4 linked regions of the Anolis sagrei genome follow. The protein of the gene in region 1 interacts with the protein of each later gene in a pairwise test. Links are inferred from orthologs where the notes say so. Each region holds a gene or a part of one and is shown in the gene's direction. Other genes may lie near its edges. The genes, in order: UBE2E3, RNF167, mitochondrial ubiquitin ligase activator of nfkb 1-A-like and CNOT4.

The links.
Region 2: the proteins of UBE2E3 (region 1) and RNF167 interact in a two-hybrid assay, tested with the Homo sapiens proteins (2 studies listed by BioGRID and IntAct). The link is inferred for Anolis sagrei from reciprocal best matches to the Homo sapiens genes UBE2E3 and RNF167.
Region 3: the proteins of UBE2E3 (region 1) and mitochondrial ubiquitin ligase activator of nfkb 1-A-like interact in a two-hybrid assay, tested with the Homo sapiens proteins (2 studies listed by BioGRID and IntAct). The link is inferred for Anolis sagrei from reciprocal best matches to the Homo sapiens genes UBE2E3 and MUL1.
Region 4: the proteins of UBE2E3 (region 1) and CNOT4 interact in a two-hybrid assay, tested with the Homo sapiens proteins (3 studies listed by BioGRID and IntAct). The link is inferred for Anolis sagrei from reciprocal best matches to the Homo sapiens genes UBE2E3 and CNOT4.

What each region holds. Positions count from the first base shown.
Region 1 is NC_090021.1:188,322,170-188,329,479, reverse strand, and holds the start of UBE2E3 (ubiquitin-conjugating enzyme E2 E3), read left to right. Parts: upstream 1-4,304; 5' UTR 4,305-4,319; coding exon 4,320-4,469; exon of another isoform or gene 4,470-4,473; intron 4,474-4,943; exon of another isoform or gene 4,944-5,256; intron 5,257-5,364; exon of another isoform or gene 5,365-5,761; coding exon of another isoform or gene 5,762-5,824; intron 5,825-7,310. UniProt on the Homo sapiens protein: Accepts ubiquitin from the E1 complex and catalyzes its covalent attachment to other proteins. In vitro catalyzes 'Lys-11'- and 'Lys-48'-, as well as 'Lys-63'-linked polyubiquitination.
Region 2 is NC_090026.1:1,250,047-1,257,129, forward strand, and holds the start of RNF167 (E3 ubiquitin-protein ligase RNF167), read left to right. Parts: upstream 1-4,075; 5' UTR 4,076-4,239; intron 4,240-7,083. Other genes in the region: SLC25A11 (mitochondrial 2-oxoglutarate/malate carrier protein), read right to left, coding at 136-200.
Region 3 is NC_090023.1:262,723,081-262,730,526, forward strand, and holds the start of mitochondrial ubiquitin ligase activator of nfkb 1-A-like, read left to right. Parts: upstream 1-4,440; 5' UTR 4,441-4,535; intron 4,536-7,446. UniProt on the Homo sapiens protein: Exhibits weak E3 ubiquitin-protein ligase activity. E3 ubiquitin ligases accept ubiquitin from an E2 ubiquitin-conjugating enzyme in the form of a thioester and then directly transfer the ubiquitin to targeted substrates.
Region 4 is NC_090025.1:158,008,693-158,015,890, forward strand, and holds the start of CNOT4 (CCR4-NOT transcription complex subunit 4), read left to right. Parts: upstream 1-4,191; 5' UTR 4,192-4,448; intron 4,449-7,198. UniProt on the Homo sapiens protein: Has E3 ubiquitin ligase activity, promoting ubiquitination and degradation of target proteins. Involved in activation of the JAK/STAT pathway. Catalyzes ubiquitination of methylated RBM15.

The sequences.
Region 1 (7,310 bases):
CAAGCTCATTAGAGCTTCTGGGATTTGGAGGCCCAAACAGCTGGAGAGCCGCAGTTTGAGGATGCCTGCTATAGGCTATATATTAGAGGAAGGGACTAGCAAAAACACCCTGATGGGTTCGACATTGGGAGAATAGAAGGCGCATAAACACACACAAAGGTTTTGACTCTCCTTTAAGAGAGGAAATCAGGATATAAATATGTACAATAATAACAAGGAAAAGGAGAAGGGGGAAGTAGACGACATCTTGTTCTTGAAGTATGCAGAAGCAGTATTGTTTGAAAGTGAAGCAGGTTTCCAATCCTAACCATCATCAATATTCTTGTATATGGTAATTTTCTTGGGTTCGGGGGGAGGGGAGGCCTCAGGATCTACCCTAGCAAACCTTTTGTATCGTTACCTCAATACCCCCATGCATATGGGATATATTGAGCATGGTGATTAGATCATGATATGAATAAACATAACAGTTTAAATAATGTAGCAGTAAGGCCTTTTCGCGAACTACGATGAGAATTTCGGGGGGGGGGGGCTGAAGCCCCTCAAGCCCCCCCCCCCCCCCCGGGCTACATACCTGCACACAGTATATGTTAACTGGACTTCTAGTGTAGTTTGAATGCTAAAGCAAGACTCCAAAGCCCCTTCTACACTGCAATATAATCCAGATTGTCAAAGCTGATAATCAAAGGTATCTTTCCACATATATAACATCTCAGCCCCCTTCCACATTGCCACATAATCCACCTTTTCAAAGCAGATAATCCACATTATCAGTTTTAAATTGGACTGTATGAGTTTACACTGCCATATAATCCAGTTCAAAGCAGACAATCTGAATTTTATATGGCAATATAGAAGGGGCCTCAGACTTTTAACACTTTCAACTTCAGAGAAGACTATGATTGGACTCTGGACTTCCATGTCAGGGCCCTTCCACACAGCGCTATAGCCCAGAATATCAAGGCAGAAAATCCCACAATATCTACTTTGAACTGGGTTATCTGAGTCCACACTCAAGATAATACGGAATTTTCTGCCATGACATTCTGGAATATAAGGCTGTGTGGGCCTTCAATTTGGCATTGGCAAATTGATACACGACCGAGGATATTTGTATTTTTACATCCATTTATTTGATATTCCAGTTTCCCCCTCAGTACTAGAATAAAGTTAAAACAAAGAACAATCTGAACAAACTATTAATAGAAACATAAAAAATAAATGTGTTGAGGAATAATTTCCGTTTCAAAAACACAAGTTTAAAATCTTTTAAAAAACAGATTCAAACATAATGAAACACACACACACACATACAGCACTCACCGCGTGGAAAGCTCCATCTGCAGCAACAAGTAAAAAACAAAACACAACAAAAGGCCTGATTAAATAAAATAGTAAAAAAAATATATTGGAAAAACAAAGAGAAATCTGCCTGTAGAGATTTGGGAACAATCATAGAGAAGGCTTTCACACCTGGTTTCCCAGACCATGATGATTTATTATATATTTATTATATATTTATTATTATTTACAAGCTGTCCCCTGCCATGTGTTGCTGTGGCCCAGTCTGTGTATATGTGTTTTGTGTGTGTACATGAATGTGTATATGTGTGTTGTGTGTGTGCGTGTGTGTGAGGGTTTGTGCATAAGTTGTAACGTAATTTTTGGTTTTTTTGGATTTTTAAGCCCTTTCTGTTGTGTTTTTCAGAATTATTATGAGTGATGGGCACTCGTTGGCCTGATAGGTGTCTTGTGTCCAAATTTGGTGTCAATTCGTCCAGTGGTTTTTGAGTTATGTTAACCCCACAAACGAATATTACATTTTTATTTATATAGATTGTATTTCTCGACCAGCCTTTTCATCCAGTGACCTCAGGGCAGTATAAGTCAGTTCTCCTTCTAGTACCTGACACAGGGGATTGGCAGTGGTAGCAATGTAGGGCAAAGATCTGTCCGCACTAGCAGTAACTGGGTGCATCTTAACTGCAAAATGAATTAGTTTTACCCCACTTTTACTGCCACACTCAATGTTGTGGAATCCTGAGAGTTGTTGTTTAGAGGGACACTAGGGCCCCTTCTACACTGTCATATAAAATCCAAATTATTTGATTTGAAGTGGATTACATGGTAGTGTAGACTCATATAATCTGGCTGAGAAATGTATAGTTTGACACTTGGGCAATAAAAATGAAATGGACAGCTCATATAGGATGTGTGGCACCTGGCTTGAATACAGTACACGTGAAAGGAATCTAGGAGCCTGAGGAGCCTTCTATACTTTGTATTAGTCTACACTGCCATATAATCCAGTTCAAAGCAGATAATGTGGATTTTTAAGGAAAGTGTAGGTGCCTGCCATAGATGCAGGCAAAACTTCAGGAGAGACTGCTTCTAGAACATGGCCATACAGCCCGAAAAACCTACAACAACCCAGTGATTCCGGCCATGAAAGCCTTCGACAGTACAAAGGTGATTCTACTTGAACATTAGGAATAACTTCCTGTGAGAGAGCTGATCAGCAGTGGAACTCTCTGTCTCAGTGTTTAATAGAGTCTCCAAGTCCTGGAGGCTTTTACAGAGGCTGCCGGGAGTGCTTTGATTGTGGAAGAACGGGATTGGATTGGGTGGCCTTTGGGGCCTCTCCCGACTCTATAGAAGTCCAGGATTTCCAAGCGCAACACACACACTCTGGCTGCAAATGACTGAAGGATTCTATTTGAACATTAGGAAGAACTTCTTGTGAGAGCTGTTCAGCAGTGGAACTCTCTGCCTCAGGGTTGTAATGGAGTCTCCAAGTCCTGGAGGCTTTTAAAGAGGATGGATGGCCATCTGTCGGGGGTGCTTTGGTTGTGGAAGAACAGGGTTGGATTGGGTGGCCTTTGGGACCGCTCCTGACTCTATAGGAGTCCAGCATTTCCAAGCACAACACACACACACTGGCTGCAAATGACCGAAGGATTCTATTTGAACATTAGGAAGAACTTCCTGTGTGAGAGCTGTTCAGCAGTGGAACTCTCTGCCTCAGGGTTGTAATGGAATCTCCAGGTCCTGGAGGCTTTTAAAGAAGATGGATGGTCATCTGCTGGGAGTGCTTTGATTGTGGAAGAACGGGGTTGGACTGGGTGGCCTTTGAGACTGCTCCTGACTCTATAGGAGTCCAGGATTTCCAAGTACAACCACACACACTCTGGCCGCAAATGACAGAAGGATTCTTCTTGAACATTAGAAAGAAATTCCGGTGTGAGAGCTGTTCAGCAATGGAACTCTCTACCTCAGGGTGTAATGGAGTCTCCAAGTCCTGGAGGCTTTTAAAGAGCATGGAAGGCCATCTGCCAGGGGTGCTTTGATTGTGGAAGAACACGGTTGGACTAGGTGCCCTTTGGGGCCACTCCTAATTCTATAAGAGTCCAGGATTTCTAAGCACAACACACACACACTCTGGCTGCAAATGACCGAAGGATTCTACTTGAACATTAGGAAGAACTTCCTGTGAAAGAGCTGTTCAGCAGTGGAACTCTCTGCCTCAGGGTTGTAATGGAATCTCCAGGTCCTGGAGGCTTTTAAAGAAGATGGATGGTCATCTGCTAGGAGTGCTTTGATTGTGGAAGAACAGGGTTGGACTAGGTGCCCTTTGGGGCCACTCCTAATTCTATAAGAGTCCAGGATTTCTAAGCACAACACACACACACTCTGGCTGCAAATGACCGAAGGATTCTACTTGAACATTAGGAAGAACTTCCTGTGAGAGAGCTGTTCAGCAGTGGAACTCTCTGCCTCAGGGTTGTAATGGAATCTCCAGGTCCTGGAGGCTTTTAAAGAGGCTGGATGGCCATCTGCTGGGGATGCTTTGATTGTGGAAAAACAAGGTTGGACTAGGTGCCTTTGGGGCCTCTCCTGAATCTATAGGAGTCCAAGATTTCCAAATACAACACACACACACACACTGGCTGCAAATGACTGAAGGATTCTATTTGAACATAAGGAAGAACTTCCTGTGAGAGAGCTGTTCAGCAGTGGAACTCTCTGCCTCAGGGTTTAATAGTTTCCAAGTCCTGGAGGCTTTTAAAGAGGAGGGATGGCCATCTGCCGGGAATGCTTTGATTGTGGAAGAAGGGGGTTGGACTGGGTGGCCTTTGGGTTCAGGATTTCCAAGGACAACACACACACGAGCTACTACTGCTGCCTTTGGCTGCAAATGACCAAAGGATTCTATTTGAACATTAGGAAGAACTTCCTGTGTGAGAGCTTTTCAGCAGTGGAACTCTCTGCCTCAGGGTGTAATGGAGTCCCCAAGTCCTGGAAGCTTTTAAAGAGGCTGGATGGCCATCTGCCGGGAGTGCTTTGATTGTGGAAGAACGGGGTTGGACTGGGTGGCCTTTGGGGCCTCTCCCAAGGAGTCCAGGATTTCCAAGCACAACACACACACGAGCTGCTGCTGCTGCCTCTGGCTGCACATGACCGAAGGCGAGGTGGGTGAGTGTATGCCTGGGAGGACGAGAAGGGAGACTTTCCCTTTGGGGGGAAGGCTGCAAACTTAGGCCGGGAGAGAGAGGAAAGGAAAGGGGTTCCTGGGTTCCCTTGGGCAGCCAACTCTTTGTCCTTGACCAGCAAAGCGGGGGAAGGTAAAAAAAAAAGAGAGAGAGAGTGAGAAAGAGCAGAGCGCGTGCGCGCGCACTAAAGCCGACAAAGCAGCAGCACCAGCGGGGGCGCGCGCTCCAGCCTGGGAGAGCGCGCGCGCCGTCCTTTTCCCTTTTCTCTCTCTCTCTCCCTGCGTTTGGAACTTTGCTGACTGCAACGTTCTGAATCCGAAAGTAGGGGGCGGAGGCGAGAGAACGTTCGATTTGCCCCCCCCCCCTCCCTTTGGAGGAGAAAGAGAGAGAGAGAGAGGAAAAAAAGGGGAGCGCTCCGCAGCGCCACCGTCCGGCCATCGCGTGTATTGCACCTCCCCTTTTTTTCTCTCTCCCTTTCTCCCTCTCCTTCTCTCTCTCTCTCTCCCACCCCCCTTCTCTCCGGCTCTCAATGATCCACACTGCCCGGCCACAGAGCCGCCTCCTCCTCCTTCTCCGCCGCCCGATTGCCCCCCTCCCAAGCTGCTGCTGCTGCTGCCTCTCCTGCTTCTCCTCCTCCTCCTCCTCGTAGCCCCTTCCCAGCCCCCAAGGACACAACGCTCTCCCTTCCCTTCCCTTCCCTCCCCCCTTCCCTCCCTCCCCTCCTCCTCCTCCTCCGAGTGAACGTCGGGACAGGACGGCTGCCAAGGTAAAAAAAGGAGACACGGGTTAGGACAAGCAGGGAAAGGGGGGAGGGAAGGAAGGGAGAAGGGGAGGGAGGAGGGGAAGGGGGGTGGTCGTGGAAAAGAGAGCTTTGTTCTGGCTGCCTGGCCCCACTCGAGTTCACGCCTCACTTGGTGGCACACACACACACACACAACACACGCGCGGAGTGGACGGATCCGGGTGGGAGAAGCTTCCTTCCTGCCATTACAGCAGAGAGAGAGGAGGAAGAAGAAGAGGAGGAGGAAGAGGAGGAAGAGGAGGAGGAGGACGACTCTGTGTTGAAGGCAACACACACACACACACACAGAGGAGGGCAAAGCTGCCCCTGCTGCAATTCCTGATCAGGATCTACCTCCTCTTCCTCCTCTTCCTTCTCCCTCTTTCTCTTTTTTGGGAATGATCTAATCCCAATATTTCAACCCCCCCTCTCTTGCATGTGATCCTTCCTGGAGGAATCCCCATTTATTTATTTTTTAGGGGGCAAAAAGATGTCTGTCTGTTTTGTAGAAACTGATCCAGAGTCGGTGGTGGCGTTGAAAGCTTTCCAGAAGGTGCTTCTTCTTCTTTTCCTTCTTTGCTTCCTCCCTTCGCCAAACCTTCTCCTCAGTTGGGCCCATTCTTCTTCCCCTTCCTTCCTTCTTTCCCCAAACCTTCTCTCCAGTTGGGCCCAAACATTAGGGTGAAAATTGAGAGGCAGTGGGTTTGTTGGGATCTGTGTCCCCCCTCCCCCCCCCTTTGTATATATGTTCTCATTACTATAAATATAAGTGTGTTGTTGGGGCCCGGGGAGCAAAGAGGAAGGGGCTCTTAACCTAGTGTCTCTAAGGTAAATATTATTCAGGGCAGAGAGAGAGCCTATTTTGGGGTCAGTCTCGGTTGTTTACAACCCTGTTGTCCTAAGTTGCTGTGAGTTTTTCTGTGCTGGATGGCCATGTTCCAGAAGCATTCTCTCCTGACGTTTCGCCCACCTCTGTGGCAGGCATCCTCAGAGGTTGTGAGGTCTGTTCGAAACTGCAGGGTGACAGAAAGATATATGCATTTTCCAGGCTGTCTGGCTATGTTCCAGAAGCATTCTCTCCTGATGTTTCACCCACATCTATGGCAAGCATCCTCAGAGGCTGTGAGGTCTGTTTGAAACTAGGCAAGTGGGGTTTGTATATCTGTGCAAGGTGAGAGAAAGATATATGAGTTTTCCAGGCTGTCTGGCTATGTCCCAGAAGCATTCTCTCCTGATGTTTCGCTCACCTCTATGGCAGGCATCCTCAAAGCCTGTGAGGTCTGTTGAAAACTAGGAAAATTGGGTATATATATCTGTGGAATAATGTCCAAGGTGGGAAAAAGAACCCTTGTCTGCTTGAGGCAAGTGTAAATGTTTTCTGAATGTTGTTCTTTATTTAGAGTTGTTTAAATACTGGTAGCCAGATTTTGTTCCCCAGGTAGGAAGCACCCAGGCTTGGAAGTTGAAAGGCCATTCGAAGCTAATCAAGGTGGCCAATGGCAACATTCACACTTGCCTCAATGTAAATGTTTTCTGAGTGTTCTTCTGTATTTAGTGTCCTGATTTTAGAGGTTTTTTTAATACTAGTATCCAGATTTTGTTCCCCAGGCAGGAAGCAGCCAGGCTTTGAAGCTGCAAGACCATTAAAAGCTAATCAAAGTGGCCAATGGCAACATTCACATTTGCCTCAAGCAGACAATAACAACAACAACAACAACGCATTATTCTTTGATACATCACACAGTCCTAGACACTTGGGAAGTTTCCGATGTGTGATCCAATGCAACAGCCAGCAGAGTGATCTTATCTGCTGTGGACTCATCTTGTTGTGCTTCAAATAATAATAATAACTTCATTTTTATACCCGGCTAAGAGTTCTTCCTCCCACCCTGGACCTTCCACAGATATATAAACCTCACTTGCCTAGTTTCCAACAGACTTCACAACCTCCGAGGATGCCTGCCATAGATTTGGGCAAAATGTCAGGAGAGAATGCTTCTGGAACATGGCCATACAGCCTGGAAAACTCACAGCCACCC
Region 2 (7,083 bases), on another chromosome or scaffold:
GGCCCCGTGAGGCCATCCAGTCCACCCCGCGTCCTCCTGCCTTCCTGCAGGGAGAGCCCCCCCCCCGCCATTCGATCCCTCCGGACAGAGGCCCTGCTTCCCCACGCGCCCCTTCCTTCCCCTTGTTCTTCTCACCCGGCCAGGCCCCCGAAAAGGAACTTGACGGACTTGGGGGAGGTCTTGGGCTTCGCCTCCGCCATCTTGGACCAAGGTCACTCCGGCCCGGCTGGAAGGGAACACAGCTATGAGGGGGATCCCCGCAGCCAATCAGCGCCCGGCTTCAGGCGAGGAGGCGGGACTTCTGGGGAAAGGGAGCCGAGGACGACGAGGAGAGACGCAACCACGCACGCGCGGGAGCTAAAGGGGCGTGGCCAATCAGGCAAGGGGCGTGGCTACCGGGCAAGGGGGCGTGGCCAAGCTGGCTTTTTCCCGCGCCTGCGCAGTACTAGGAGTGAATGCCATTCATCCAAGTCAGTTTTGCAGAATTCAAAAACTGACCACCATTATCATTAATACCATTATTATTATTATATTGTTTTATTATATATTCTATTATTATATATATTCTATAATATATATGATTATGATATATTATATTATTATTATATATTCTATTATTATAGAATATCAGTATGTTCTTCTATTATATAATAACATATTGATATTCTGTAATAATAGAAAATATAATAAAATAATATAATAATAATAATATAAATATGTTAGGTTCTTGTGGGTTTTTTCGGGCTATATGGCCTTGCTCTAGAGGCATTCTCTCCTGACGTTTCGCCTGCATCTATGGCAAGCATCCTCAGAGGTAGTGAGGTCTGTTGGAACCAGGAAAAATGGGTTTATATATCTGTGGAATGACCAGGGTGGGACAAAGGACTCTTGTCTGCTGGAGCTAGGTGGGAATGTCTCAACTGACTACCTTAATTAGCATATAATGGCCTGACAGTGCCTGGAGAAAACTTTTGTTGAGAGGTGTTAAGATGTGCCTGGTTGTTTCCTCTCTGCTGTTTTGCTGTTGTAATTTTAGAGTTTTTTACATCTTAACACCTCTCAACAAAAGATTTTCCCAGGCTCAGCCAGGCCTTTCAATGCTAATGAAGGTGGTCAGTTCAAACATTTACACCTAGCTCCAGCAGAGAAGAGTCCTTTGTCCCACCCTGGTCATTATTCCACAGATATATAAACCCAATTTTTCTAGTTCCAGCAGACCTCACTACCTCTGAGGATGCTTGCCATAGATGCAGGCGAAACGTCAGGAGAGAATGCCTCTGGAACATGGCCATATAGCCCGAAAAAACCTACAACAACCCAGTGATTCCAGCCATGAAAGGCTTCGACAAGACATTATTTGGATTGTTTCCTTAATGGCTGTCCAAGATGCATGGGCTCAGGGACAGAGAGGGAGGGGTCCTGGGTGCACATTAGCCGCGTTTCTTCCCGAGGAGTGACCAGCAGCCCCACTTCCACTCCCCACATTCCAGGCCATTGCCCTCCACTCTTTTGGCGCATGGTTTGCCCTAAGGTCAGGCCTTGGTCCTTGGCCAAGGAATGTGGAGGAGGAGGAGGAGGAAGAAGAAGAAGAAGAGGAATGCTTGGCATAGCAAAACCAGGAATGCCATTGTGCTGGGAGGAGGAGGAGGCCATGTGCTGCTGTTGTGGACGCTGCACTCAACATTCCTACACATGGGTCTGTGGCTGGGCCTTTGCAAGAGCAAACGAAGCCTCCCATGAGTTGCTGTGAGTTTTCCAGGATGCACAGCCAATATGTTATTATTTATTCTCAAGATCATACATATGGAGAACCCTGTGTTATGCGGGCAGAAACTAATAATAATAATAATAATAATAATAATAATAATATAAAGTTTCTGTCCCCATAACACAGGGTTTTCCATATGTATGATTTTGAGAATTAATAAATAATAATAATAATAATAATAATAATAATAATAATAAAAGGAAATCAGGAGACACTTCCTTCTTGGGAGGAGAGCAATGTCCAGTCTCGATAAAATAGTCAAGAGTAGAGACATCAGACTGGCAACCAAGATCCATTGCCTAGTCCAAGCCATGGTCTTCCCTGTAGTCACCTCCGGATGTGAGAGCTGGACCTGAGGGAAGGCTGAGCGAAGGAAGAGAGATGCTTTTGAGCTGTGGTGTTGGAGGAAAGCTCTGAGAGTGCCTTGGACTGCGAGAAGATCCAACCAGTCCATCCTCCAGGAAATAAAGCCCGACTAAAGCTCACTGGAGGGAAGGAGACTAGAGACAAAGTGGAAATCCTTTGGCCACATTATGAGGAGACAGCAAAGCCTAGAGAAGGGAATGATGCTGGGGAAAGTGGAAGGCAAAAGGAAGAGGGCAAGATGGATGGATGGCATCCTTGAGGTGACTGGACTGACCTTGAAGGAGCTGGGGGTGGTGACGGCCAACAGGGAGCTCTGGCGTGGGCTGGTCCAGGAGGTCACGAAGAGTTGGAGATGACTGAACGAATGAACAACAATAATAATATAACTATAATAATAATAATATAACTATAATAATAATAAAAAATAATATAAAGTTTCTGTCCCCATAACACAGGGTTCTCCACATGTATGATTTTGAGAATTAATAAATAATTGTTGCAATCCAGAGCAGGGAACGAGGCCCTAAGATAACTCTCCACCACACTTGGCTGTGAAAAACAATCCTTTTTTATTGAAGAAAAATGGTTACAAAATAAAGGGAAAATGCAAGTCAAAAGCCACAGCAAAATCAGCAAACATGAATTTAAATGGACAAAGCAAAACCAAAAGCCTCACTGTGAAATACTGGAACCTGTTAGCAATCCACTAACCATACTTGATATCCTAGAAATCTTCCCAAACTATGGCCAGGGAACCGGGAGAACTGCCAAGGTCTTCATCAATTCTGAAACGATGCCTGAACTGAGACGTAAGGCAATTAAAACTCAAGAATTGGTTCCGTGAACCGCCCTTCTGTTTTGAAGCCAATGTTTTTAATTCTTGAATTCGGGAGGATCGAGGCAAACTGAGTGATTTACTTCTGTCTTCCCAAATTTGGCCCCTTCTGTTGTCATTACAGTTACCAGGTGCAGAAGGGAGGGGAAGGTCAAGGTCTCCCTCTGAAACATTCTCATGAACACGGGTACTTTCATTTTCCAAATCTACAGAAGTTCCTTCCTCACTAATTTCAGGAACATTGGCATTTTCCAAACCTACAGCAGATTCTTCCTCACTAATTTCAGGAGCCTTGGCATCAAAAGGGACATTTCCACTAGCATCAGTAAATATACTTTCATTTGCATCAGGAGGAACAAACAGAGAATTAGGTTCAAGTTCAAACTCAGGCTGAACCCCAACAATAATAATAATAATAATAATATAACTATAATAATAATAATAATAATAATAATATAACTATAATAATAATAATATAACTATAATAATAATAAAAATAATATAATTTTCCCCATAACACAGGTTTTCCATATTTATGATCTTGAGAATTAATGAATAATAATAATAATATAACTATAATAATAATAAAAATAATATAAAGTTTCTGTCCCCATAACACAGGGTTTTCCATATGTATGATTTTGAGAATTAATAAATAATAATAATAAAACTATAATAATAATAAAAATAATATGAAGTTTCTTCCCCCATAACACAAGGTTTTCCATACGTATGATTTTGAGAATTAATAAATAATAATAATAATAATAATATAACTTTAATAATAATAATATAACTATAATAATAATAAAAATAATATAAGTATAATAATATAATAATAATAATAATAATAATAATATAACTATAATAAAAAATAAAAATAATATAAAGTTTCTTCCTCCATAACACAGGGTTCTCCATATGTATGATCTTGAGAATTAATGAATAATAATAATAATAATAATAATAGTCTGCCTCCTCCCCCTCCCCCTCCCCCTCCCTCCTGCTGCAGCTGAGCCCGAGATGACACGCCCACCGATCTGCATAGCCCCGCCCACTGCCCTGCGAGGCCCCGCCCACCCCTCGAGCGAGCCGGAGAGGCGGAAGTAAACAAGGCGGGCGCTTCCGGAAGGGGCGGGGCTTGATGCTGTGGGCCTTTCCCCTCTGGTGAGGCCTTCTCCCACGCGAGGCGAGGGACGAGCGGCGAGCCCGAGGACCCCCGGTTGCGTGCCCATGAGGCGGGGGGCCTGAGCCCGCCAAGGAGGGGAAGGTAAGGGCGGTCAAGGGAGGGAGTCAGAGGAGGGAGGGCCCTCTGGTCACGTGGGGACACACCTGGGCACACACCTGGGCCCTGCCCTTTGGGGATTGTTTTGGGCTCTCAGGTCAGATCAGCAGGGTGATTTCCAACGCTGTTTATTGGAAGGAAACCACTCTTGGCTTTGGTTTTTTCTCTGAATGCTCCCATTAGAAAATGCATGAGGATGTGGGTGAACTACAACTCCCAGAATCGTGGGTCAAGCCTCCCCAAGCCGGGCCAGTATTCACAGTTGGCCATGTTGGGCCAGTGCGCCAAGTCTGGTCCAGATATGTCATTGGCAGGGTTCAGTGCTCTCTAGGTGCAGGTGAACTACAACTCCCAGATTCAGTGATCTCTCTCTTGATGCAGGGGAACTACAACTCCCAGATTCCGAGGTCATTCACCCCCAAACCCTGCCAGTATTCATAGTTGACCATATCTGGGCCGGATATGTCATTAGCAGGGTTCATTGCTCTCTAGATGGAGGTGAACTACAACTCCCAGATTCCAAGGTCATTCACCCCCCTAACCCTGGCAGTATTCACAGTTGGCCATGTTGGGTTTATGCGTCAAGTTTGGTCCAGATATGTCGTCACCTGGGTTCATTGCTCTCTAGATGCAGGTGAACTACGATTCCCAGGTTCATTGCTCTCTAGATGAGGGTGAATTACAACTCCCTGATTTCAAAGTTCAGTGCTCTCTAGATGCAGGTAAACTACAACTCCCAGATTCCAGGGTTCAGTGCTCTCTAGATGCAGGTGAACTACAACTCCCAGATTCAATGGTTCAGTGCTCTCTAGATGCAGGTGGACTACAACTCTCAGATTCCAAGGTCATTCACCCCCTAACAGTGCCAGTATTTGCAAGTTTGGTAGTTGATTAAATGTCCTTTGACCAGTCTCTGGCCCCTTGGAGTGCCTCTGGTGTTGCCACAAGGAGGTCCTCCCTTGTGCATCATGTGGAAGAAGGGCTCAGGGTGCATTGCAGCAGGTGGGCAGTGGTTTGCCCTTCTCCGCGCTCGCATGTCGTGGACCTCACTTTGTGGCCCCATTTCTTGAGGTTGGCTCTGCATCTCGTGGTGCCAGAGCACAGTCTGTTCAGCACCTTCCAAGTTGCCGAGTCTTCTGTGTGCCCAGGGGGGAGTCTCTCATTTGATATCAGCCGTTGATTGAGGTTCTGGGTTTGAGCCTGCCACTTTTGGACTCTCGCTTGCTGGGGTGTTCCAACAAGTGTCTCTGTAGATCTTAGAAAACTATGTCTTGATTTAAGTCGTTGACGTGCTGGCTGATACCCAAACAGGGGATGGGCCAGGGATGTCTTCACTGTATCTGGTTGTGATCTCCAGGTTGTGCCAATCAGCTTTCGTATGATATTGTTTCTAGCGCCCACTTTTTGCTTGATGTTCAGGCAGTGCTTCTTGTAGGTCAGAGCACGGTCCAGAGTGACTCCCAGGTATGTGGGTGCGCTGCAATGCTCCAGTGGGATTCCTTCCCAGGTAATCATCCTCAGAGCTCGGGATGCTTGTCTGTTCTTAAGTTGAAAAGTACATGCCTGTGTTTTAGATGGGTTAGGGATCAGCTGGTTTTCCCTGTAATAGGCAGTAAGAGCACCTAGAGCTTCGGAGAGCTTCTGTTCAGCCATCTCAAAGCTCCCTGCTTGAGCGGTGATGGCACGATCATCAGCATAGATGAAGCTCTCCATCCCTTCTGGCAGTGGCTGGTCATTTGTGTAGATGTTGAACATGGATGGAGCAAGCACGCTCCCCTGAGGCAAGGCCGTTCTTCTGTTTCTGCCATAAGCTTCTCTGGCCCTGGAACTCAACCAAAAAGCTCCTGTTTTGTAGCAGGTTTCCTATGAGGCAGATGAGACGGTAGTCCTCTGTGATATTATACATTTTTCTCAGGAGGAGGCGGTGGTTCACTCCAGAAGCAACCAGAAGCGACTAAAATGGATTATATCAGTCTACACTGCCATATAATCCAGTTCAGATCAGATAAGCTGGGTTTTATATGGCAGTGTGGAAGGGGCCTTTATGCTAATCCGCTTTGAGACTCCTTCGGGAGAGACAAAGCAGGGTTGAGCCCAAGGTGAGTTTGACCTTCCTTCTTCCAGGCAACGGTCTGGGCTTTTCCTTGATTTAGCAAGAAAAGGGCCAAGTACGTCAGTCGAAAGGAGAAACCTGCCCACACTTCTGAGAATGTCCAGGCATCATCATCATTGTTGTCATATTTATTTACACCCCGCTTTATCTCTCCCAACGGGGACTCAAAGCATCTTGACATAAAAGCATTAGTAGGCTATTTAAAATATCCAAAGATGCAAACATGGAAAGAAAACTAAACACAAACAGCACGAAAGAAATTCACAGTTAAAATCCATTAAAACATCTTCAAAGTGGAAAAGCACAGGCACAGCCGCGTTTGTGCTTTGTATGGAAGGCAAGCCAGAACAAGGTGGATTTCCTCCTTCCTTCTCTGACCCCTTCTACACTGCCATATTTTACTTGTTGTGTCAGGGCAACCAGTCAAATTATATTACATTTCTAACAGAACAAAGCAAACAAACAGACATAATACAAAATGTGTGAGTTTGGTAGTTGATCAAATGTCCTTTGACCAGTCTCTGGCCCCTTGGAGTGCCTCTGGTGTTGCCGCAAGGAGGTCTTCCATTGTGCATCATGTGGCAGGGCTCAGGGTGCATTGAAGCAGGTGGTCAGTGGTTGGCTCCTCTCTGCACTCGCATGTTGTGGATTCCACTTTGTGGCCCCATTTCTGAAGGTTGGCTCTGCATCTCGTGGTGCCAGAGCGCAGTCTGTTC
Region 3 (7,446 bases), on another chromosome or scaffold:
GAGAAAAGGAGGTGTGTGGGTCAGGTTTGCTTCCACGTTTGTTTCCGTTAACCCTCTCCTCAGGCTTATTCTCAGTTCCAGACCAGCTTGGCTTTAGAAATTCCAAACTCGCTCCCATCCCTTGAGCTCGGTGAGGACTAGTGCCTTGGACTTAGCGTGTGAGTGTGTGTATGTGTGTTGGTGGGGGGAGGAGGGATGCCGTTGGTGTATTTAATTATTAAAAGCCGTTTCCGCTTGATTGTTTCAATGTGGTCTTCAAATGTGTGGCACAAATAAAATGTAAACATTGAGAGGAAAATACAAATCACCAGAGATTAGAAATGAGACTCGATAAGCACTGTTTTGTTTTCAGTGAAGTCAGGCTGGGATTTGGGAGATCTAGAGGCACATGAACATCTACTTTATGCCTGTGTCCGGACTATAGCATTTCAGATTGGAAGCACCGGGACCATATGTTAGTCGTTACAAAAACATTCACCATGTGCAGAAAACTTTCAGATGGTGGAAAGTTCTACCTGAGTCCATTCTGCCAATGTACCATTTCTATTTAGGGATTATTTTCCTGTGTGCCAAAAAAGACAGGTAATGTGAACTAGAACTTCCCTTAAGTTGTCTACACTGTTGAATTACTGTGCCTTGACACCACTTTTACTGCCATCACTTAGTACTATAGTATCCTGGAGTTTGTATTTTTGGTGTGGCACCAGCTTCTTTTTGGCAGAGAAGGCTAATGAACTTGTGAAATTAAAGTTCTCATGATTCCATAGCAATAAGCCATGGCTGTTAAAGTGGTGTCAAACTGCATTCATTTGGTAGTATAGAAAACTTTACTTATGCGATCCCTCGTAGCTTGGGGATTATGGTCTTCCAGGTGTAGTGTCTTGGCAGTGGGTCCGTATGTGGCTGTAGAGCCCTATTCTTGATCTGCATGTTCTCCTGCAGTGAGGACATCAGTTTCCAGATTAAGGTGGTCCCAGTCAGGGTTGGCTTGATGCGCCTTCCTCTTGGCAAGTTTCTCCCTTTCATTCTCCATTCGTGCCTCTTCGAATTCTGCAGCACTGCTTGTCACAGCTGACCTCCAGTTAGAGCACTCAACGGTCAAGGCTTCCCAGTTCTTGGTGTCTATGCCACATTTTTTTTAAGGTTGGCTTTGAGCCCATCTTTAAATTTATTTTCCTGTCCACCAACATTACATTTCCCATTCTTGAGTTCGGAGTAGAGTAACTGCTTTGGGAGACGTTGATTGGGCATTCGGACAACGTGGCCAATCCAGCAGAGTTGAGGATGAAGGAGCATAACTTCAATGCTAATGGTCTTTGCTTCTTCCAGCACATTGACCTTTGTCCGCCTGTCTTCCCAAGAGATTTGCAGGATTTTTCAGAGGCAGCGCTGATGGAATCGTTCCAGGAGTTGCGTATGACATCTGTAGACAGTCTTTTCGCGGGTGTACAGCAGGGTTGGGAGGACAATAGCTTATACAATCAGGGACAGCTAATCACCTCTCAACAAAGGAATTTCCCAGGCAGTAACAAGCGACACCTAAAAACTGTCTGGCCATCAAATGCTAATCAATGTGGCCAAATGAAACATTCACACCTAGCTCCAACAGACCACAGTTCTTCCTCCCACCCTGGACCTTCCACAGATATATAAACCCAATTTTCCTAGTTTCCAACAAACCTCACAACCTCTGAGAATGCCTGGCACATATGCAGGCAAAACGTCAGGAGAGAATGCACCTAGAACGTGGCCATACAGCCCAAAAAACCTACAACAACCCTCTTAGAAAACTATTTCTTGATTTAAGGCATTGGCATACTGGTTTATATCTGAATAGGGGATGGGCTGGATATGTCACTGCCTTGGTCCTTTCATTATTGGTTGCTACTTCCCAGCGGATGTCAGGTGTTGCAATACTGGCTAAACATTATTTCTCCAGTGGTGTAGGGCACAGACAGCCTGAGATAATGCAGCATGTGCGACCACAAGCGACATGTAGCATCATAGAATTGGAAGAGACCACATGGGCCATCCAGTCCAACCCCCTGCCAAGAAGCAGGAAAATTGCATTCAAAGCACCCCCGACAATGGCCATCCAGCCTCTATTTAAAAGCCTCCAAAGAAGGAGCATCCACCACACTCTGTGTCACAACTCAGGGAAGCTTCACCTTGGTCAAGACACCACCACACCCAAGGCTGTAGGTTTTGTAGTTTATTGAGAAAAAAGCAAAATCAAAACAGAGAAATAAAGATGCAAAAATTCAATAGGCAAAACAGAGTCTTAAATGCAAAGGCAAAGTTCCCAAGATCCAAAGGCAAATAACATAATCCCTTAGCAATGGTCAAACAAGAGTCCGTGGTAAACAGGTAAAATCAGGATCAAAATCCAAGTCTCAAAGAAGCCAGAAGCGTTCCGCAAAAGACAAGGTAGTTCCACAGAAGTTAACAGGGAAAGAGCAACATTGGACTGACAGGAAATGCCTGTCACCTACATCATTAAATAAGTTTCCCTGACATGAAAGCGTTGCATTGACCTTTGGCTTCACGCTTGTTGGCAAGGCGTGTGCTTCTGCAAGCTATTAATCGTAAACTATCCTGTCTACTCATTAATTCACTATTATCTTCAAGGCTAAACAACTCATTATCTTGGCCCAGCTGGGCCTCATCACTCTGGGAACCGAAAGGAGTCTTCACCTGCACTTGTGGAGTTTCACTATCTTTATCTAAAGGCACATTCCTTTCCCCGGGAAACAGGCTTGCTGTTTCTTCTTCAGAAGCCACACTATCAGCCCCGTCTGGAACATGTACAGGAATCTGTAACCCATCAGCCTCCTCATCATCCTGCAGAAAGTCAGGCTCAGAAGGCCCAGCAGACCCAGAAGGCCCAAACAATTCAGTCTGAGACTCAGGCTCAGACTGAGCCACAGCACTCTGGGGCAGAGAGTTCCACTGCTGAACGTCTCTCAGTCAGAAAGTTCTTCCTAATGTTCAGATGGAATCTCCTTTCTTGTAGTTTGAAGCCATTGTTCCATTGCGTCCTAGTCTCCAGGGAAGCAGAAAACAAGCTTGCTCCTTCCTCCCTGTGACTTCCTCTCGCATATTTATATATGGCTATCATATCTCCTCTCAGCCTTCTCTTCTGAAGGCGAAACATAGAATCATAGAATCAAAGAGTTGGAAGAGACCTCATGGGCCATCCAGTCCAACCCCATTCTGCCAAGAAGCAGGAATATTGCATTCAAATCATCCCTGACAGATGGCCATCCATCCTCTGTTTAAAAGCTTCCAAAGAAGGAGCCTCCGCCACACTCCAGAGCAGAGAGTTCCACTGCTGAACGGCTCTCACAGTCAGGAAGTTCTTCCTCATGTTCAGATGGAATCTCCTTTCTTGTCGTTTTAAGGCATTGTTCTGTGCCCTAGTCTCCAGGGAAGCAGAAAACAAGCTTGCTCCCTCCTCCCTGTGGCTTCCTCTCACATATTTATACATGGCCCTCATCATATCCCCTCTCAGCCTTCTCTTCTTCAGGCTAAACATGCCCAGCTCCTTAAGCCACTCCTCATAGGGCTTGTTCTCCAGACACTTTTATGATTTTAGTCACCCTCCTCTGGACACATTCCAGCTTGTCAATATCTCTCTTGAATTGTGGTGCCCAGAATCGGACACAATATTCCAGGTGTGGTCTAACCAAAGCGGAATAGAGGGGTAGCATGACTTCCCTAGATCTAGACACTATGCTCCTATTGATGCAGGCCAAAATCCCATTGGCTTTTTTTTTTGCCGCCACATCACATTGTTGGCTCATGTTTAACTTGTTGTCCACATGCCCAGCTCTTTAAGCCGCTCCTCATAGGGCTTGTTCTCCAGACTCTTGATGATTTTAGTCGCCCTCCTCTGGATACATTGTCAATAGAAGATTACATCTTTATCTGCAGCAGCCTTCATCTGTTCAAACATAACATAAATATGTTAGACTAGATCCAGGGGCATGCAAACGATGGCCTGCAGGCCACATTTGGCCCAAAATATTTTCCCCAACCCTAAGCTCTCTTATTGCATCTTAATTCAACTTTCAATAGTCAGAGGGACAGTCTAAGGCAGGCCTGGGCCAACTTGAGCCCTCCAGGTGTTTTGGACTCCAACTCCCACAATTCCTAACAGCTTACAGGCTGTGGGAGTTGTGGGAGTTGGAGTCCAAAACACCTGGAGGGCCCAAGTTGGCCCAGGCCTACCTGAGGGTCACATTTCCCAGCAACAGCTGTCTGCCACAAAGAGAAGCTGCAGTCAGCGCTTTCCGGCCAGCAAGAGTCGCAACACATTCTATTTGCGAGCAGAGCACGCTGGGAGTCGTAGTCTTTGAACAGCGATGGAAAAACCGCTGCGAAGGGAAGTCGCTGTTTTTTGGACTCCGTTTCCCATAACCCACCGCGGCGGAGTGTGCACGCTGGCGTTTCCGCCGGGCTGAGACCACAAAACTTTGGTTCCGCCAGAGAAGGAGAGAAGCGAGGATATGGGAAGTTGTTTCTCGGCGTCAGAGGTAAGTCAGTGGCCATTAATGTTTCTAATGGATTTACCTTGAATCCTGGGAGTTAGTCTAGGCAAGAGTGCCCCTGAGCATGGGCAGAGTGTTCTGATACTTTGATGCATCAAACTTTTGTTTCAGTCACACAATTATTACAATTCCCACATTAATAAAAGTCAAAGCATGTGTGTATGTTGGTTGGGTTGTCCCCCAAAAGCTCCTCCATGCCTTGATGGATTTGGGCCAAACCATTCATGATCCAACTTCATGTCATGGTCCAACTTTGTAAAAGCTCACTTTTTTCAGGCCCCAAAAGGATCAAAGTTAGTTGGATGTGGATGATTGGCAGTTGCTAGGTGAAGTGTCCCTCTGTGATTTTTTTCAGGCTCAAAAGCATCAAAGTTAGTTGGATATGAATGATTGGCAGCTGCTAGGTGAAGTGTCCCTCTGTGATTTTTTTCAGGCTCAAAAGCATCAAAGTTAGTTGGATATGAATGATTGGCAGCTGCTAGGTGAAGTGTCCCTCTGTGATTTTTTTCAGGCTCAAAAGCATCAAAGTTAGTTGGATATGAATGATTGGCAGCTGCTAGGTGAAGTGTCCCTCTGTGATTTTTTTCAGGCTCAAAAGCATCAAAGTTAGTTGGATGTGGATGATTGGCAGTTGCTAGGTGAAGTGTCCCTCTGTGATTTTTTTCAGGCTCAAAAGCATCAAAGTTAGTTGGATATGAATGATTGGCAGCTGCTAGGTGAAGTGTCCCTCTGTGATTTTTTTCAGGCTCAAAAGCATCAAAGTTAGTTGGATATGAATGATTGGCAGCTGCTAGGTGAAGTGTCCCTCTGTGATTTTTTTCAGGCTCAAAAGCATCAAAGTTAGTTGGATATGAATGATTGGCAGTTGCTAGGTGAAGTGTCCCTCTGTGATTTTTTTCAGGCTCAAAAGCATCAAAGTTAGTTGGATATGAATGATTGGCAGCTGCTAGGTGAAGTGTCCCTCTGTGATTTTTTTCAGGCTCAAAAGCATCAAAGTTAGTTGGATATGAATGATTGGCAGCTGCTAGGTGAAGTGTCCCTCTGTGATTTTTTTCAGGCTCAAAAGCATCAAAGTTAGTTGGATATGAATGATTGGCAGTTGCTAGGTGAAGTGTCCCTCTGATTTTTTTCAGGCTCAAAAGCATCAAAGTTAGTTGGATATGAATGATTGGCAGCTGCTAGGTGAAGTGTCCCTCTGTGATTTTTTTCAGGCTCAAAAGCATCAAAGTTAGTTGGATATGAATGATTGGCAGCTGCTAGGTGAAGTGTCCCTCTGTGATTTTTTTCAGGCTCAAAAGCATCAAAGTTAGTTGGATGTGGATGATTGGCAGCTGCTAGGTGAAGTGTCCCTCTGTGATGTCACTAGGAAAGGAAGAAAGAAAGAAAGAAAGAAAGAAAGAGAAGAGAAAGACAGGAAGGGAAGGGAAGGGAAGGGAAAGAAAGAAAGTGTTGCAATCCAGAGCAGGGAACGAGGCCCTAAGATAACTATCCACCACACTTGACTGTGAAAAACAATCCTTTTTTATTGAAGAAAAATGATTACAAAATAAAGGAAAAATGCAAGTCAAAAGCCACAGCAAAATCAGCACACATGAATTTAAATGGACAAAGCAAAACCCAAAGCCACACTGAAATACTGGAACCTGTTAGCAATCCACTAACCGTACTTGATATCCTAGAAATCTTTCAATACCATGGCCAGGGAAACCGGGAGAACTGCCAAGGTCTTCATCAATTCTGAAACAATGCCTGAACTGAGAAAGTCCGCCCGGCAGAAGGCAATTAAAGCCCAAGAATTGGTTCCGTGAACCACCCTTCTGCTTTGAAGCCAATGTTTTTAATTCTTTAATTCGAGACGACCTTCGCAAGCTGAGTGATTTACTTTTATCTTGCCAGATCTGCCCCCTTCTGTTGTCATTAAAGTTACCAGGTGCAGAAGGGAGGAAAAGGTCAAGGCTTCCCTCTGAAACATTCTCATGAACACTGGTACTTTCATTTTCCAAATCTACAGAAGTTCCTTCCTCACTAATTTCAGGAGCATTGGCATCAAGAGGTACATTTCCATTAGCATCAGTAAATATGTTTTCATTAGCATCAGGAGGAACAAACAGAGAATCAGGTTCAAGTTCAAACTCAGGATGAACCCCAACAGAAAGAAGAAGAAAGAAAGGGTTTGAAATAAGGATCAAAGTTAGTTGGATGTGAATGATTGGCAGTTGCTAGGTGAAGTGTCCCTCTGTGATGTCACTGGGAAAAGAAGAAAGAGAAAAAGGAGAGAAAGACAGGAAGGGAGGGAAAGAAGGAAGACAAAAGAGGAAGAAAAAGGGTTTCTGTAGTTTTGAACTCTGAATATGTTCGAACTGGGAATTTTTAAAATGCTTGTTATATTTAATTCTGTTTTCATATTTGCCTATTGGTATGTTTTCAATTTTATGCTGATGCTTTTATGTTCCGCTGCTTTGAGTTTCCTTTGGGGGAGATAAAGTGGGGTACAAACAACAACAATAAAGGGGAGAAGGAAAGGAAGGGAAAGGAGGAAAGAAGAAGAACAAAATGGGAAAATGAAAGAAAGGAGGGATGGATGGGTATGAATGAAAAAGGAGGGAATAAAGAAAGGAAAAGGAAGAAGATATGAGGGGAGGAGAGGAAGAAAGAAAGGATGAAGGGATGGAGGGAAGAAAGAAAAAGAAGGGGAAAGTAAGAATAGAAGGAAGAGGAAAAAAGGAGAGAAAAGGATGTGTATGAGGGAAAACGAGGGAAGGAAGAAAGAGAAAAAGAAGAGAAAGAGGAAGGGAGGGAAGGAGAAGAAAGAAAAAAGAGGAAGGAAAGGGGAGAATTATTATTTCTTACCTACCTCTCCTCACGTCTCGAGGCGGTTTACAACATTGCTAAAACA
Region 4 (7,198 bases), on another chromosome or scaffold:
TGGAATTTTAATGTTGGCATTTTCATATGGAGTTTCTAAATAATCACTGATATGCAGCTTGGAGGAAGGATGGAAAAATATTTTAATAGGAAGGAAGAGCATAATTGTATTTGTCTCTAACCCCAAGGATAGGAAGCCTCTCCAGTAGGATGGATGGGAGGAGGAGATGGCATAGTTAATGCAATTGCTGAAAAGCTGTTAGGAAATACATTTATGCATATTGAACACACATGTACATGCATACAGCTTTTTAATTGTTCTTTTTGACAAATAATGCAAATTTAAAATAAATGTTTATTTTCCTAAAAATTATCTGCTAAGTGGCAAATCAAGAATATGCAAATGGAATCCAGTCCAAGAACAACCATTTAATAAAATAATAATAATGATAAAACTTTATTTATATTCCGCCCTATTTCTCCAAAGGAACAGATATCCGCAAACATTCAATGCCGTGAGAAACTGAACAAAGACAAAAAATAACCACATCTACATTAAAAATAACACATTATACTGCAATATTACCAGTAATATATATAATATACAATTATATATTATTAATGCATTGTTGAAGGCTTTCATGGCCAGAATCACTAGGTTGTTGTAGGTTTTTTGGGCTGTATGGCCACGTTCTAGAAGCATTCCCTCCTGACATTTTGCCTGCATCTGTGGCAAGCATCCTCAAGAGGTTGTGAGGATGCTTGTCACAGATGCAGGCAAAACGTCAGGAGAGAATGCTTCTAGAACAGTGGTTCTCAACCTGTGGGTCCCCAGATGTTTTGGCCTTCAACTCCCAGAAATCGTAACAGCTGGTAAAGTGGCTGGGATTTCTGGGAGTTGTAGGCCAAAACACATGGGGACCCACAGGTTGAGAACCACTGTTCTAGAACATGGCCATACAGCCCGAAATATCTACAACAACCCAGTATGTATTATTATATTGAACAGAGTATTATATCACAATATATAAAATATATTACCAGCATATAAATAGTATTATATAATATACTAGCTAGCTTGGGTCCCGGCGCTGCCCGGGTTATTTGAGAAAGGAATTGTGTATCAAGGTTGGTCTTTATCAGTTATTTATATGGCTCGCAGTGGTCTCAGGAAGTTAGTGAAAGTACTGCCAGTCCCATCATCTGTGGTCCATCCTCCTCCAAACAGCTTAGGGATGTAGAGTGCGTCATGGGGGCTCTGTGTGCCAAGTTTGGTCTTGATCGGACATTAGATGAGGGTTGCAGCAGTCTTGGGAAGGGAGTGGAGGTACTTGAAGTCCCATCATCCATGGTATGTCCTCCTCGAAAGTGCACCAGGATGTAGAGTGGGTCATGGGGACTCTGTGTGCCAAGTTTGGTCTTGATCAGTCATTGGCGAGGGTCTCAGTGGTCTCAGGAAGTGAATGAAGTGACTGCAAGTCCCATCATCCATTGTCAAATTCTTCCAAACCACACCAGGATGTAGAGTGGGTCATGCGGGTTCTCTGTGTAAATTGTGGTCCTGATCCATCATTGTTGGCAGTTGTAATGGTCTTAGGAAGGGAATGCAGGTATTGCAAGTCCCATCGTCCATGGTGCATCCTCCTCCAAACCGCACCAGGATGTAGAGTGCATCATGGAGACTTTGTGTGCCAAGTTTGGTCTTTATCGGTAATTGGATGAGGATTGCAGTGGTCTCAAGAATTGAGCAAAGGTACTGCAAGTCCCATAATCCATGGTACATCCCCGGCCAAACCACACCAGGACGTAAAGTGGGTCATGAGAGGTCTATGTGCCAAGTTTGGTCCTGATCAGTCATGGGATGAGGTTAACAGCGGTCTCAGAATGTGAGTGATTGTACTGCAAGTCCCATCATCCAAGGTTCATCCTCCAAACTGCAGTAGGATGTTGAGTGGGTCTTGCAGTCGCCGTGTGCCAAGTTTGGTCTGTATTGGTAATTTTCTGACGCAGCCCCCCCCCCCCCCCCCCGGCCTTTTCCTTTCCTCTCTTTGTCATCTCAGAATCTTGGAATTGAGGCTGGCCAATCAGAGACCATATGCACATTTCCTTCTCATGTCCCTGTTTCTGTAATGAACTCTTTTCTCCACCAGGGGCTCCTATTGAAGCTGGCCAATCAGAGACCATATGCAAATAGCACCACAGCGGCAACCAATCAAAACGCTGGCACATACTCCTCCCGCCACACGTCCGCCGCATACAAACTTTGACTTTTATTATATGTATAGATAGATTGTACTATATCATAGATTGTAGTGTATACAATATATTATATTACAACATTAACATATACTAGCAATATTACATTCCAATGTTGTTCTATGTATTATGATATTGTATATATTTGAATGACACTGTACAAAAATGCACCTTGGCCATGGTAATCCACGCTCTGGTTACATCACATATAGACTACTGCAACGCACTCTACGTGGGGTTGCCTTTGAACACTGTCCGGAAGTGTCAACTAGTCCAACAGACGGCGGCCAGGTTGATAACAGGAGCGACTCTCAGGGAGCATACAACCCCCCTGTTGCGCCAGCTCCACTGGCTGCTGGTTTGCTACTGAGCACAATTCAAAGTGCTGGCTCTGGCCTATAAAGCCCTAAACGGTACTGGCCCAACTTACCTGTCTGAACACATCTCCCCTTATGAATCATCGAGGACTTTAAGATTGTCTGGGAAGGCCCTGCTCTCGGTCCCGCCTTCATCACAAGTACGTCTGACGGGGACGAGAGACAGGGCCTCAGCTATGGAACACTCTCCCTAGGGATATCAGATGGCTCAATTCTATCAAACCATGGGAACTGTAGTTTCACAAGGTCTTTAGCCTTCTCTGCCAATGGGAGCTGTTGCATCACCAAGCTACCAACCACAGCGTTGGGCCAGGGTAGTCAAAGTGATGTCAAACCGCATTCATTCTACAGGCTAGATCAAGCATAGGGCAAGTTGGGCCCTCTGGATGTTTTGGACTTCAACTCCACCCTCAGGGAAAAGGAAGGGGCCTGAGGCTGTTAGGAATGGTGGGAGTTGAAGTCCAAAACACCTGAAGGACCCAACTTGGGCTGAGGCTGTTAGGAATGGTGGGAGTTGAAGTCTGAAACACCTGGAGAGCCCAACTTGGACTGGGGGGGGGGGGAAGGAAGAGGCCTGAGGCTGTTAGGAATGGTGGGAGTTGAAGTCCAAAACACCTGAAGGACCCAACTTGGGCTGAGGCTGTTAGGAATGGTGGGAGTTGAAGTCTGAAACACCTGGAGGGCCCAACTTGGACTGGGGGGGGGAGGTGCCTGAGGCTGTTAGGAATGGTGGGAGTTGAAGTTCAAAACACCTGGAGGGCCCAACTTGGGCTGAGGGGGGAAAGGAAGGGGCCTGAGGCTGTTAGGAATGGTGGGAGTTGAAGTCCAAAACACCTGAAGGGCCCAACTTGGGGTGAGGGGGGAAAGGAAGGGGCCTGAGGCTGTTAGGAATGGTGGGAGTTGAAGTCCAAAACACCTGAAGGGCCCAACTTGGGCTGAGGGGGAAAAGGAAGGGGTCTGAGGCTGTTAGGAATGATGGGAGTTGAAGTCCAAAACCCCTGGAAGGCCCAACTTGGGCTGAGGGGGGAAAGGAAGGGGTCTGAGGCTGTTAGGAATGATGGGAGTTGAAGTCCAAAACCCCTGGAGGGCCCAACTCGGGCTGAGGGGGAAAAGGAAGGGGCAGAGGCTGTTAGGAATGGTGGGAATTGAAGTCCAAAACACCTAGAGGGCCCAAATTGGACGGGGGGGGGGAAGGAAGAGGCCTGAGGCTGTTAGGAATGGTGGGAATTGAAGTCCAAAACGCCTGAAGGGCCCAACATGGGCTGAGAGGGAAAAGGAAGGGGCCTGAGGCTGTTAGGAATGATGGGAATTGAAGTCCAAAACACCTGGAGGGCCCAACTTGGACCGAGGGTGGAAAGGAAGCCTATATAGAACAATAGACAGTGATATGGTGTCCCTCCAGATGCTCCTGGCCGCCAACATTGGGAGCTGCAGCCTGGGAACCTATTTCGCATAACCTACGCGCCGCGTCCTTCCCTTTCCGAACCCTCCGGGGCTGGCCTACAACTCCCGTCATGCTCTGTTCCGCGCGTCGCGCCTCTTTCGACGCCTTCCTTCCCCCGCAACCCGCCTCTCCGGCGCCTGGTGCGCATGCGCGTCCGGGGCAAGCCTAGCAAGCAGGCAAGCAGTCTCTCCCTAATGTAAGATGGTGGCCGGTCTGTCGGCGGCGGAGCAGCGCGCAGAGCCAAGAGATTACCCGTCTCTCACATAAAAAAAAAGGAAGAAGAGGGGGAAAGGAGGAGGAGCCGCCCCGAGAGGAAGAAGGAAGGAAGGAAAGGAAAGAAGGAAGGAAGGAAGGAAAGGAGCCAGCCAGCCGGCAGCAGAGAGCGCGCGCCGCCGCCGCCCCCGCCGCCGTGGAGCAGGGACGACGAGGCCGGTGAGCAAGGCAGGCAAGCCGGGTTCACTCCGTTACGAGAGCGCGGAGGCTTCAAGGGAGCTTCCAGGCCTGGGCCGCCCTCCTCGCTGCCCTCCGCGCTTGGCCTCCCTCAGGCCAAAGCCAGAGGCGGAAGAGAGGCCGAGGAGGAGGCTCTGGGCCGCCCCTCAGAGGGAGGGAGGCAGGCGGGCCACGCCGGGGCTTTTCAGGGCGAGGCTGCCGAGGGGAAGGCTGCTGCCCCTCGCCTTGCGATCCTGAGAGAGATCTCTTCGGAAGGAGCACGTGTGTTGGGAGTGGGTGGCAGTTAACTGTATGTGTGTACCTACCTCTCTGGGTGTTCCCTCTCCGGCCCTTCTTCCTTCCCCGTTATGTTTCCCTGTGGGGCCTTCTCCTTACGTGGAAGTGGATCCCCAATGTTGCATTGCTTTTTAGAGGCATCCACTCCTCAGTGTGGGACAGAGCTGTCTCCAGGGGGATTTCTCTTCGTCCCTTGTTTCCCATCCTCACATTTTCGCTCTTTGTCCCTTCCTCTCATTTTATTTATTTACAGTACAGTACAGTATATTTTGGCCCCTCGGTAAGGCTAGATCTCCTGAATCTATATCAAGCATGGACAAACTTCGGCCCTCCAGGTGTTTTGGACTCCAACTTCCACAATTCCTAACAGCCAGTACATTTGCCCATGCCTGATTTATATGCTTAAGGTAAACTAGATGTCTCCGGGTAGTTTGCCCATGTTGGATCTGTATGCCTAAGGTAAACTAGCTGTCTCAGGGTTTGACACCACTTCAACTTCCATGGCTCAATACCATGGAATCATGGGAGATGTGGTTTTACAAGGTATTGAGCCACATAGTGTTGGTACCTCACCAAACTACAACTCCCATGATTCTGTCGCATAGAGGCATGGCAATTGAAGAGCCCCCGATGGCGCAGTGGGTTAAACCCCTGTGTCAGCCGGACTGAAGACCGACAGGTCGCAGGTTCGAATCCGGGGAGAGGCAGATGAGTTGCCTCTATCAGCTCCAGCTCCTCATGCGGGGGCATGAGAAAAGCCCCCCACAAGGATGATAAAAACATCAATTCATCAAGGCATCCCCTGGGCAACGTCCTTGCAGACGGTCAATTATCTCACACCAGAAGCGACTTGCAGTTTCTCAAGTCACTCCTGACATGGCAAAAAAAATGGCAATTGAAGTTTTGTCGAACTATTAATTCTATTTTATTTATTTATTTACCTTATTTATATCCTGCCTTTCTCTACCCCAAGGGGGACTCAAGGCGGCTTACAATTATACCTCCACAGTGCCTTAAAACATACAACATCAGTTAAAAATTAAAACATAATACGTATAATAAAAATACATTTCAATGAATCACATCATCCAAAGTGGCAGTCTAAAGGCCAATCTGTAGTCAAATTGCACATATTCCATACTTGCTTTCCTGCACTGCTCTATTTTTCAAATACCTACTCCCAGAGCCAGGTTTTGACTCTCTTTCTAAACACTAGGAGGGAAGGGACAGCCTTGATATCACTAGGGAGGGAGTTCCATAACTGAGGGGCCACTACTGAGAAGGCCCTGTCACTCGTCTCTACCAACTGCACTTGCAAAGAAGGTGGGACTGAGAGCAGGGCCTCCCCAGACAATCTTAATCTCTGAGATCGTTCATAGGGGGAGATACGGAGGCTGGGCCATAGCCCTTTGATGCCCCCATAAGGCTGCCTTTGCTTTGCAGGGTTCTCTGGGGCCCCTTCCACATAGTTGAATAAAATCCCACATTTTCTGTTTTGAACTTAGTTCTGGACCTCTGCAATGCCTTAAAGAGATTCCAGCTAACTCATTCTAAGGGCTCTTCCACACATCCATATAACCCAGAATATCAAGGCAGAAAATCCCACAATATCTGCTTTGAACTGGGTTATCTGAGTCACACTGCCATATATCCCAGTTTAAAGCAGATAATGTGGGATTTTATTCAGCTGTGTGGAAGGGGCCTGAGTCTATTGTGCCATATATTCCAGTTCAAAGCATAAGACCCCTTCCACATAGCTGAATAAAATACCAAATTTTCTACTTTCAATTGGGCAGTATAGACTCAGATAACCCAGTTCAAAGCCAATATTGTGGGATTTTCTGCCTTGATATTCTGGGATATAGGGCTGTGTGGAAGGGCACTGGTTAAGGGATTGACTGCAGACTTCCCCTCCTTGGCGTTATAATTTTCTCCCTTTTCTAATGTGACATTCTATTTGTCCCTTGTTTCCAATCCTCTTGTTTTTCTCCTTGAGTAAAGTTAGATCTTCCATATCTATGTTTTAAGATAAGCCAAGTGTCTTAGGGTAAGGGTACACTACACAGTTCATGAAGTTTAACACCACATTCACTGCCATGGTTTAGTGTTATCGATGCCTTGTTTGCTTTATTCACCCTTTATGCACAAATCTGCACTCTCCACTGGGGATGTGGAGAAAGAGAGCTCACATCAGTCAATGAAACTCAGGGAGCTTACAGTAGTCAACGAAAGTAATGCAACAAATCCCACTGATGGCAGTGGAATGGAAGAGAAGAAGAGGCCGATGGGACAGATGAGCAGCAGTGCAGTGATGACTGAAGGAGTGGTTCGTATTAGGGTGCATCTACACTGTAGAATTAATGCAGTTGGACACAATTTTAACTGCCATGGCTCAATGCTAGGGGATCCTGGGAGTTTTAGTTTTGACAAGATCTCTAGTCTTCTCCACCAAAGAA